Linked DNA regions of Schizosaccharomyces pombe. The protein of the gene in region 1 purifies or fractionates together with the protein of each later gene. This does not show direct contact. Each region holds a gene or a part of one and is shown on either strand. Other genes may lie near its edges. The genes, in order: pfh1, rpc25 and ubr11.

Evidence for each region.
Region 2: the proteins of pfh1 (region 1) and rpc25 purify together in Schizosaccharomyces pombe (affinity purification with mass spectrometry, with the first as the bait; one study listed by BioGRID). This does not show direct contact.
Region 3: the proteins of pfh1 (region 1) and ubr11 purify together in Schizosaccharomyces pombe (affinity purification with mass spectrometry, with the first as the bait; one study listed by BioGRID). This does not show direct contact.

What each region holds. Positions count from the first base shown.
Region 1 is NC_003423.3:3,568,791-3,572,547, forward strand, and holds the start of pfh1 (DNA repair and recombination protein), read right to left. Parts: upstream 1,687-3,757; 5' UTR 1,399-1,686; coding exon 144-1,398; exon of another isoform or gene 103-143; coding exon 1-102. Other genes in the region: sphingosine hydroxylase/sphingolipid delta-4 desaturase Sur2, read right to left, coding at 2,590-3,471.
Region 2 is NC_003423.3:2,591,253-2,595,009, reverse strand, and holds the start of rpc25 (DNA-directed RNA polymerase III complex subunit Rpc25), read left to right. Parts: upstream 1-1,624; 5' UTR 1,625-1,839; coding exon 1,840-2,047; intron 2,048-2,087; exon of another isoform or gene 2,088-2,163; coding exon 2,164-2,250; exon of another isoform or gene 2,251-2,301; coding exon 2,302-2,570; intron 2,571-2,704; coding exon 2,705-2,752; 3' UTR 2,753-3,387; exon of another isoform or gene 3,388-3,433; 3' UTR 3,434-3,757. Other genes in the region: hbs1 (translation release factor complex GTPase subunit), read right to left, coding at 1-355, 399-452, 507-546.
Region 3 is NC_003424.3:3,700,774-3,704,530, reverse strand, and holds the start of ubr11 (ubiquitin-protein ligase E3 Ubr11), read right to left. Parts: upstream 2,040-3,757; 5' UTR 1,737-2,039; coding exon 1-1,736.

The DNA.
Region 1 (3,757 bases):
CAGTTAAAACCAACTGAATTCCACCAAATGGCTTACTATCTTTGCGAATAACACGCGCAACCTCTTCTAACTTGTCCATTAATTCAGCATCGACCATAGAAACTATAGTTATTAGTAAATATAAACTCACTTAAATTGTTTACCTTCATCAATGATCAAAACTCTGGTGCGCAACCAACGATTAACACACTTCTTATTTTTCTTTATTTTAGATACCAGGAGGTCGACAGATTCACGAGCAAGGCCTACCCCAGCAAAGGAGTGAAGTGTTACACCGCCGATATTACAGGCTGCCAAGCCTGTAGAAGCGGTAACAGCAACTCTGTCAGATTGCTTTCTATATTTAGATTTTAGGACTTCAATTATTTTTCGGAGGAGAACAGATTTACCTGTTCCAGCAGAGCCCGTAAAAAATATACTGTGTTGTTGCTCAACAACCATGTCTAAAATTCTTTTTTGCTCATCGGAAAGGAATATGCTAGGGACAGATTTTTTACGAGAATCACTTGTCTTAAACAAAGAAGATCCTATTGGCGATTTGGAAGCAGAGTTTAAAGGAACAGAAAATTTTTTAGATATCTGTGGGGTAGACTTAGATTTACTCATGCGTTTTTTAGCCAGACTATCCAAAGAACTGCTTCGTCCATTGCTAAGCTTATTTGAAGAATCATTAGATACAGTGTGTTGACTGATATCAGCTGAAGTGCTGGTTCTTTTAGGATCAGGATCTCCATATCTGTAAGGATCCACTGCCCAAGGAAGGGTTCGTGAGCGTTTTATTCCCTGCCTCGTAATATTACTAGATATTACGCTACTTGCGCCTTTTTCAGAAGTATGGTCTTCGTAAATTTTTGAGAGATGATTTTTTGACCGCTTTTCGCTCGAGAGCATTGATTTAGTTAACTTAGTATGCTCGATAGGGGATGAAGACCAAGGAATTGGTTTTTGGTCAATATCGTTTTCTAAAAGTAGATCATCATCAAAGTCATTTTCATCAATATAGACGCCATTCGCTATTTCAGTGGAGTATTTACTACCCAAGCCAGAATTTTCAAAAACGGGCAGTGAGGGTTTCGAAACATCGAATCCCACGGTGTTATCAAGTTGTTTTAAGCTAGCAGCAGAACGACCTCTTTTGGCTGGTAGGGTTATTGGAGATGACGGAAGGTTATCAGACTGGCTAGAAAATGTTTGCTGATCATCATTAGTAGAGGAGCGAGAGGAATTGAAGTTTAAAGAAGCGGACGAAAAACCGCCCAATTTGTTCAAGGAGGGTTGATGCGATGACTCGTTTTGTGTATGAAGCAAGCTGCTTTTCTGCTGAGCTCTTTGAAACATGACGGGGATACGTTTCCTAAAAGAGTGACTAAATTTATAAAGAGATTGGCACGAAAACATTCATCGAATTACTTCAAGAAACTGGAAGGCGATCTGTACGCAGGTTGTCTAAAAAAAGAAACCGTAAACGAAATAGATCACCCAAAATTGTTTGATCGAAGAAAAGCAACAAGAAAACAATTTCAGTTTGAATTTAAACAACAATCTGCTACTGACTTATGCGACCTCGACCTAACACCTATGATAAGCGGTCCAAGCACATAAGAGTTGGAAGTATCCCTTTGTTGATTGTATTAATTGGGATACCGGTTGAAGAAATTTGTCAATGTCGAGGAAACGGCTGTTGACAAGGAGGTACAGAAATGAAAGCGCTATACTAATAAAAATCAAATTTACGGTGGTAGTGGACGAGACAAATGAAAGCGCGTATGTCAAGACGCGTCACGTCTGTCACCACCAGGCACGTGTTTTTTACTTCACAACTTTTGCACAAATTTTTTATCATTCAATACTGTAATTATCATAAAGTCCTTTTTACATTAGTCGTTCCTTAAGTATAACTTGCATAATTTGCTTTCGGGGCCTATGCAATGCAATGCAAATAAATTGACTTTTGTTATAATATGTTACAATCGAAGCAAATATTAACCCGTGTTTACAGTAAGTTATTAATTTTATAATATTTGATAAAACGCGTCTACGATACCATATCCTCGGAAGTCTGTAAATAATAAATGCTATCAATTAATAAATTATATACTGTATGTAGACTAAAACAATCAATACTAAGTCGAAAATTCAATAATGAGCGACAAACGATTTAAATTCGTTGACCAACCAACTTTGGTAAAGATACACAAAAACATGCATCTTTAGGTAAGTATCGTGTTCTTCAGCAGTCCGTGTCAAACATCCCGTTTTAAAGAGACTTTAGAAGTGGAAAATAACATAAAAATACAAGGTTACGGTTATCACAAATACCTAGAGTCATAGGAGGGATAACTTCAACAGTAAGGATTGCCAATCGATTTGTACTACCGACAAATTTAAAAGGAAGAACAATTAGATTAATAAAATTTCAAAAAAAATGAAAATAGCAAACAAAGAAACTAGAAAGAATGAGAAAAAATTAATAGTAAACATTTATAACTCAATATAAAAAAAACAGTATATTGGATTCAGCAGAAGTACTAAGGATAAGAAAGATTCAAAAAATGCAAATATCACAGAGCACATGTACTTTTGTAATTTCTAGTTAACCTTCTTTGCATTCTTAGCCTTTTGCTTTTTCTCGTAAGGAGTTTCAGACTTGGGAGGCATGTAAGTTCCCAAAACGTGGTCCCAGAAGGTAAAGAAGGGCTGGCTAAAGTTCTTTTGGAAACCGTAAGGTTGGTGATGAAGGTCATGGTAACGAGCATTATTGGCAAAGAACATTTGAAGAGGGTCATAAGGGAATACGTATCCACAGTGATCATCAACAGTCTTCAAGGTAGAAAGGGTGAAGAAAATAACAGCTTGTTGAGGAGAAAGACCGGCGGCGAGATAAGCAACACCAGCGCCAAAAGTGTCCAAAATCAAACCTTCAAAGGGATGGTTGTAAAGGGCACCCATAGCATAGGGAACTTGGAGACGATGGTGATGGGCATGAATCATGTTGTAGAGCTTCTTGTTGTAGTGGAGGTAACGGTGCCAGAAGTATTGCCAGCTGTCAATGATGAAGAAAGCAAAGAAGTATTGGAATGCGGGAACAATAAAGTTATAAGCCAATTTAGGGGCAAAGGGAGCAACTTGTAACAAAGCAGGCAAATTCTTGCTGAAGAAAGCCTCGTAGCGTAACATTTGCTTAGCCTCGTCAATGGGTTCAGGATAGCCCTCGAACATGGCCAATGCGATTCCAACGACGACTTCGCAAAGTTGTTGGAAAAGCACGGCTTTAACAACAGCCATCTGAGGAACACGGTTGCGTCTGGCTATCTCCTCCGGAGGATGAATGCGATACTTCTCAAAGACAGGTAATTCAATGTAATGCAAAAATCCGAAGAAAGCAGAAGCAACCCAGTAAATGATGACAGGAGAAACCAAGGAAACGGTCACTGGGTTCCAGGTAGTTAACATTTCAACGGTGGTAACCATAGTGGCAAGAAAAATTCAAATTCGAAAATATAGCAAAAAGTTAAGTGAAAGTGTAAGAAAAGAGAGAAGCTGATTAGTTATATATATGCGAATATATATCTATGTGTCTAGACTGAAGAAAGAAAACAGTTGGTACAATATATACAAATCACAAACGGCAAGAAATGTGATTTATACAAACAATTGAAAAACGATGAAACCAATAAGGAACCTTTTAAAACAACAAGTAATAAAAAGGATATTTAAACGAAACAAACCTCTTTATTTGTTCGATTTTCAATAATTT
Region 2 (3,757 bases), 980 kb from region 1:
TCCGGTTGGTTATCGCTTTCGGAGGAATTTTTCATCTTTACTTCACCGTTCGTCTGAAATGCTGGTTCATCATTTTTGTTTAGGCTTAAATTTTTAATACCATTAGAAGATTCATCCAATGGATCTTTGGCATCCGCTAAAGCTTCTTTCGATTTGTTCTGTTTTTTTTCTTTTTGGGAATCAGTATTCTGTTTTTCTTTAGCTCCAGCTTTGGAACTAGCCTTTTGCAAAAGATAGTTGACTGATTTCTCTACGTCAAAGTAATAGTACCAAACTGTATCGGCAATTTCTTTTTCTGAAATAGGAACACCTAATAATGTCTCCCTTACTGTGGCTACAGCAGACCTGAATTCCTCTAGATATTGTTCGTTAATATTTTTAAGAAATCATTTACTAACCTTCCTGCTCTTCAGTCAATTCTTCCTCTCCTGGCTCCTCGTCGAGTTCATAATCTAGAAAGACGTTAAAAAAAAATACAAACTATTACAATATCAAATGGTACGAACCATCAAGATCAAGATTTTTTACATCACGATGCCTCGACATATTTTGAATTTGTTATTTTTGCCAAAAGTCAGAAACCAATAAATACTTCTTGTTTTAAAAAAAATGGTTTCTATTGATAAATAATAAATATATGTATAATATTTAAGTTGGCATTTGACACTTTGCTCTAGAGTAAATTCTTGGAAATATTCATACATCATCAGCAGCTTTAGCGAATTTTAGCAATGTCGCTATACTGAATTGAGTGCTGCAACAAGAGTTGTTAAAAATTCTCAACTGTAACAACTGAGTGTTTTAGGGTGGATGCCTTTTATTAAGCCGGACCGGACCCATTCTATTCATTATATAGTAAATTTCTCTCATTGTCTTCAAATGTTTTATGAACTATTGAATTCGGATGAGTAAGAGTAGGGAAAACATAAGTCTGTTTGTAGTGTCAAGTATCAAAAGTTGTTAAACATTAAATTCAAAAATTTTGGCGTTCATGTAACAAAATGAAATATTTAACTTTTTAATGACTAAAAAATGATTTACTTAAGTTTTCTAAACTATGCCAATATTAAAGTTAACAGAATCGTCAAATTTTCAGGAAATTTTAGTATGCCATACTCTCGTTAGATATGTTTGCAGCAATATTTAATTAATTATTTTCCTTTTTTTTATCTTTAAATACTGCTCATAGATATTAACAAAAAATGTTTATTTACAAATATGCTAGAATTTGTAAATAGAAAAAAAAGCTAAAATAGCTAATAATTTTAAAAAATTATTTAGTAGTTCGATTTTCAAAGAATTCTTTCATTAATTATTTGTTTTTACTTCTTAACTGCTCATGAGCATGTATATCGACAGAACACTCAACAATCTTGTTATATTCATCCTTTTAACTATTTAAAATTTATATTAATTCTGTAATAAATTTGTATGTTTGAATAAGCGATTGAAACTTCTACTCATTATAATTTTTCAATTGTAAACAATATTTCATGGATTTGTCTTAAAGCTACTGCGCTAAAACTTCACTGGCCTCGCTAAGTCGTTTAACACGCTTTTCATTAGATCGTTAACTCGCCATGAATGGTCTGGTATGCAACATAATCTTCGTATTCATATTTTTACGCGACCTGGCAAAGAAAGCTGGGCTTGCAGTTAAATTACTTTTTTGAAAGGTTCCTTTTGATTTATGCAAAGTTGTTGACCAAAAGGTTAAGAAATATTTTTAAATTGGATTGTGATCCACTGTTGTATTTCTAATTATTTATCGTTCTATTCAAGTTAAAGATTTTTTCTACAAGGTGGTAAAAACTACGAGTAATAGCCGTTTTATTATTTATGTTTCTCTTGAGTCGGTTTTCAGACATTATAAGCATCCATCCATCCAATTTTTGGAAGCCTACAAAGGAAGCACTGGCTGAAGAAATCCATAAAAAGTATGCTAACAAAGTGATACAAAACATTGGACTGGCTATTTGCGTTTATGATTTTTTGAAAATTGGGGAAGGAATAATTAAATACGGAGATGGCTCTTCATACATGAATGGTAAGTATAAGTCTGCTCACTTTATTTCATATGCCAATTCGCATTATCAATACGAAAGGCTGTCAGGATAGTGATTCAGTGGAAAAGAAAAACTTAAATGGTTCTAATTAGATTAGTGGTTTTCCGCCTTATAATCTTTCGTCCTTTTCGAGGTGAAGTAATGCTGGGAAAAATAAAATCGTGCAGTGAAGAAGGTATTCGGGGTATGTTAAATGTGTTTGTTTAAATGCTTGTTGTTAATGTTTTTCTCCCAGTAACTATTAGCTTTTTTGACGATATTTTCATTCCGAAAGATATGCTTTTCGATCCATGTGTCTTTCGTCCGGATGAGCGTGCCTGGGTATGGAAAATTGAAGGGGAGGACGGCTCAGAGGGAACCGAATTGTATTTTGACATTGATGAAGAAATACGCTTTCAAATAGAATCTGAGGACTTTGTTGATATTTCACCTAAGAGGAATAAAAATGCAACCGCGATTACAGGCACAGAAGCATTGGAATCGGTATCCCCATATACATTGATTGTAAGTTTTTTTTTTTATGTTTAGGGCGAAACTTGTGTCATTATTTATGAAGGGTGCACCATCTATTTGCTAGTATACAAGAAAATATTTTCTGCTTCTCTCAAATCGATAGAATTTACTAACTATATATTTAGGCTTCCTGTTCTCGTGATGGACTGGGCATTCCTGCTTGGTGGAAATGAGCTATTGGATTCGAATCAAAGTCAAACAAAATTTAAAAGCATCAATTAATCATTTACTCCAAATTGTATAAGTAGACTTTCATTCATGTTCTATTTTTCTTCATCTAATGCATCACCAAAATTTCCCAAAAATCACGTGGTCTAGAAAATGGTTGCAATTCTATTCTGTACATTCATCCCGTCTTATAAATTTCATTGCCGAAGGTTTTTGCACAAACCTTTTGGGGTTTTATTATTTCGTTGGAGATACCTGTGTTGTTTTTAGACATGTCCTACTTAAAGGTTGCTTTTAGTGAAAAAGGGTTATTTATAAATCAACTACTTCTTTTTTTTTTTTTTTTTTTAGCTTTTCTCTATTTAAAGGTATATTATTGTATCGAAAAATCAGTTTGTTTACATCTTTGCACAGCAACACATAATGGTTATGAAAACGGCGTTCTTCAAAATTTACCTTCTTGGATGATCATGGTATTTGCTAACAGGGGGCTACTTTAATAAAGGTACTTTCATGTCAAGCTTAAATTTAATCTGGTTAAAAGAGTCATATGTTCTAAAACTTTATATTCAATCTAACAACTGAAGATTCCGCACTGCGTAAAGGAATTTTTCAATGTTAAACAAACGATCCATGCTATGTATGATTTGATTGATTTTGGTATTGTGTATACTAATGTTTAGTAGTATTACCGAATATGGAAAATTTAATTAATTACACAAAAGAGCCGATTCATTTTATAGCATAATAGAATATCAGTCTACTTTTTATGAACAATGTTTGCTTCTTCAGCAAAGAATGTCCATCGCCAACCCACGTTACTCTTTAGTACAGCCGATTTTCGTTATATGTCAGAAAATAGCAACCTTAACATTTCAGCGCCTTGCTATTTGCTATTTGAAAATGACCAACAGCAATTTGACAAACTTCTAATTTTGTTGTATTTGTGCACAAATGCATGGACGTTATAAAGGATTCTTTCGGCTACTGTACTACTTTAGGGATAAACG
Region 3 (3,757 bases), on another chromosome or scaffold:
GGAATTGGATGAGGACTTTTCCAATAATCCTCACGAAGAGATACTTGACAAACCGCAGCAGGGCGGGGTCTACGACGAGCGTTTATGATTTGTCGAAGGTTATTAAGGAGTTGAGAGTTAAACTCCGGGCGAATAGTAACGACATCCTGAGTTGCAGTAGTGGGAATAGGTACAGGAGTATGCGTCTGAGGATTATAATCTACATTTTCAGTGTTTTGTGATTCATCAGTTTCGTTTTGACTTTCGGTTTCCATTGAAATATCTTGAACATCGTCTTGACGAGTGTTTCGGTTTACACCAGGATAATCAGCCTCAGCAGCTTCATTTTCTTCTGTCTCCATAACTTCATCAGTTAAATCATCAATATCCTCTCGTTCTGTTTCAAAATCCAGAAGGTCATTTACGTCGTTATCATCATCAAGTGGATGATCAAATCCTGCAATAGTAGGATCGGTCATATCCGCTTCAAAATCTTCATCACCACCCAAATTAGCAATTCTAGTTACACCTGTTTCATCTTGAAGGTTTGCGATAACATCGAGAAGTTCTTCTGCGGCATAAATATCATCCTCGCTATCATCGTCATTAACAATCTCCAGAGGAAGGTTATTAAAATTCACCTCAGGCTTAGCAGGTTTTTCAAGGCCAGGAGACCAGTTCTTCAAAATTTCATCGCAAACGATAATTTGTAAATAATCAGCAAAATAGCAAACATGTGATTCTAGAAGATCATCGAACCATTCTAATAGAATACCACAAATATCTTCGCGAAAAAAATCGCGGGCAGTACGAACATTAACAGCTAAGTTTTCTTTTGAAATAGCGTTCGCGATTCTTATTGCTTCGTGAACTGAAGCCGATGTAGCAACAGCAAAGCGGCCAATAGAATCAACACGTTGAGCGACTTCAAGTCCAAAAGCCGTATTTGACGAATCTAACGCCTCAAGCACACTACCTACAACAGCGTCAAAGGTATGCACTTCGTCGTTCCAAAGCATTACACGGAAAACGTTGCAAGGCCTATCAGCTACACCATACTTTGCGCTGCTAAGACGAGAGGCCTCCTCATCTGCTAAGATGCTACCGACAGTAGATTGAGCTTTAAGATTCACGGGGGAACAAGAAAAGACATCGAGAATGAAGTCAAGAAGAATATGAATAGTTGTACGGATAGAGTGTTGAAGTTCTAGTGGGATCACTTCTTCTGGCTTTTTCTGCTCCTCGTCATCGGGGACATTATGTATCTTGCAGTTAAGGTCGACATTCCATGCCTCAGGATCGCCACAGTCGCAGATTCCACTATAAGAGGTTGAAATAGATACATGAGTCTCGTGACCCTCGTGGTTTGTGGCATGAAAGCAAGGAGCACAAAGAACACATGTGTTATCTAGCCCACAGTTCTTGCAACGATATATCACCTCGCCGGCACGAAATACGTGGCCACAAACCTTGGACCCAGAACGTTTATCTTGTAATTCTTGGGCGCATTCGGGTTCAGAGTGCTGAAGCCTCGAGAGACGAAAGTCAGAAGTAATGGCACCTGGCTTTTCTTTGAGAAAATATTTCCAATTGTCTTCGTTGTAATTCAGCAACGACAGGAAAACCTCTTGCAGCAAGTGCGTTTTTGATTCTTCATTTGAATCGTATGCATGCTTTTCCGCGCTTTCTAGAAGGTATTTTTGTAACCTAGAAGCCGATGGTTGCGAAAGAGGAGCCGGCGGGTCGTGCAATTGCATGAAATTATAGGAAAGGTTCTGTGAAGTAGATCTTGGGCCGCAAAGTTTTCTTCAATAATTAAATTGGTTTAAAAAAGCTATTTAATAAACAACAGGCACGCTAAAGCCACGGAATATACAAATTTTCATCAACAGAAAATTGGGGAAGTAATTGAAACAGCATTCAGTTGAATAAAGCAAACTCCAATCCTCCTTTACCTTCTTTAAACTTTTCTGTTGAAACAAATTTCTCTAAAAATATTTTTGGCAGCTATAAACCGTTCCTTCTTAATATTTCTGATTTGTATACCTAAATGGCGAGTTACTTCTTGCCATTGCCAAAAATCCATTTATACTACTTTCAGGTAACATCGTCACCTTTCTTGTATCAGTAGCCAATTGAAGATACCAAAAAATGACACCAGCTTGATAAATTCATCAGCTGTAGTCAACTCTTTAAAGCCATTTACTTTCAATTCAATTTCCTATTTCCTTCTTCTTAATATGTGTTAATATGTGTTGATTGCTTTTTTTCGTTTCGATCTAGTGGGCTTGATTTCATCCTTTGCCAGATAGGAATCACCATCATATGAGTTGGAAAGTAAGAGATATGCACCCTAGAGTAATCCAGCTCGAGATTCTTAAACTATTTATCCTTTTTAATCTAATTAAAATTTTTTCCTTTGGGTGATAATTTTCCATCGAGTTTGAATTACCCAAACTTCTCAATTATCTAACACCCCAAGATTTCAAAGTAAATATTGTTATCGCAGTGCATAGTAGATTTTAATGAGCGCTTGAATACTTCGGGCCCATGGAAATCATATCAAGGTTAAACAGTAGCATGCGCACACTATATTTTACTATACTATACTATAATACTTTAAGTAGGGCCAAAAGTTGATGGCTTGAAAAATGGGTTAAATGTTGAAAAAGGCTTTAAAATAATAGATAACCTTAAAGAAATAAATATTACTTCATGGGAATAGTTTATTTAAATTTCATTAGTTTTCCAGCAGTATTGTTAGCAAATAAAAGCAATTGCTCTTACATTGTTGCCGAGCACGGAGGCTAAATTCGACTCTTTCCAACTAATTAAGTTGGCACATGACGGGAATAGTTAGTGTGTTTAAAATAAATTTAGCAACAATTATTGCTGATCTTTCTTTAGGGAAAAAGGAAAAAAGTGTCACAAACCGGGATCGAACCGATGACCAACAGATCTTCAGTCTGTCATGCTCCCAACTACACCATTGCGACTGTTGTCGGCTTTCTTGAATTAGTAATATGTAATATGTTGTTTAGAAAGTGGTAAGTTAGTGTGCTTTTCTTATATTTACAATGTCAAGTGTTTCTTAAGCACATAAGTAGTATAATATTGAAACATAAAATAGCAAGTATAATACAGTTACTTTATTTTCTCTGGAACAAAGATGGCGATCGGGTAGTGAGATTTACAGAATAAGACAACATTATACCAGATACAAGCTGGAAAGAAATCACTTAATAAATTGTAAAGGCAAGACCAATATTGAAAGTATGATGAATGCCAGAAAATGAATGTCGTTCATATTAGCTTGACTGAATCATAGCAAAAATGGAATAGGTATTAATATCCGAGTTCTCCTCATTTTCTGCTTCCAATACCTAGTTTCTCATACAAAGTGGTTCAGGGTATTGACCACTATATGACTACGCTTTATAGTGCAACAATCAAAGCTTTTTTAATTGAATAGGTGCAGCTATCGCTTACTTTTATCTTGCTACACTTTGTCCAACTTTGAATATCTCTGCTAAACGTTTGTCATTAAGGTTAATCAAACGACTTTTATCATTCGAGTATGTTGTTACACTACCCTAGTTTCTTCTGCTAATAAATTATCAATCGTACGTTAGATGTAGCCAAGCGAGAAATCGCTACTTAGTGTTGCAAGCAAAGATGCATACAATGCAAATGCGCAAAGCCGCATCAGTAGTATAAATTGAATAAATAACAAACAGCATTTATACATGGATTTATCAGCCTTGGATATTGAATTTAA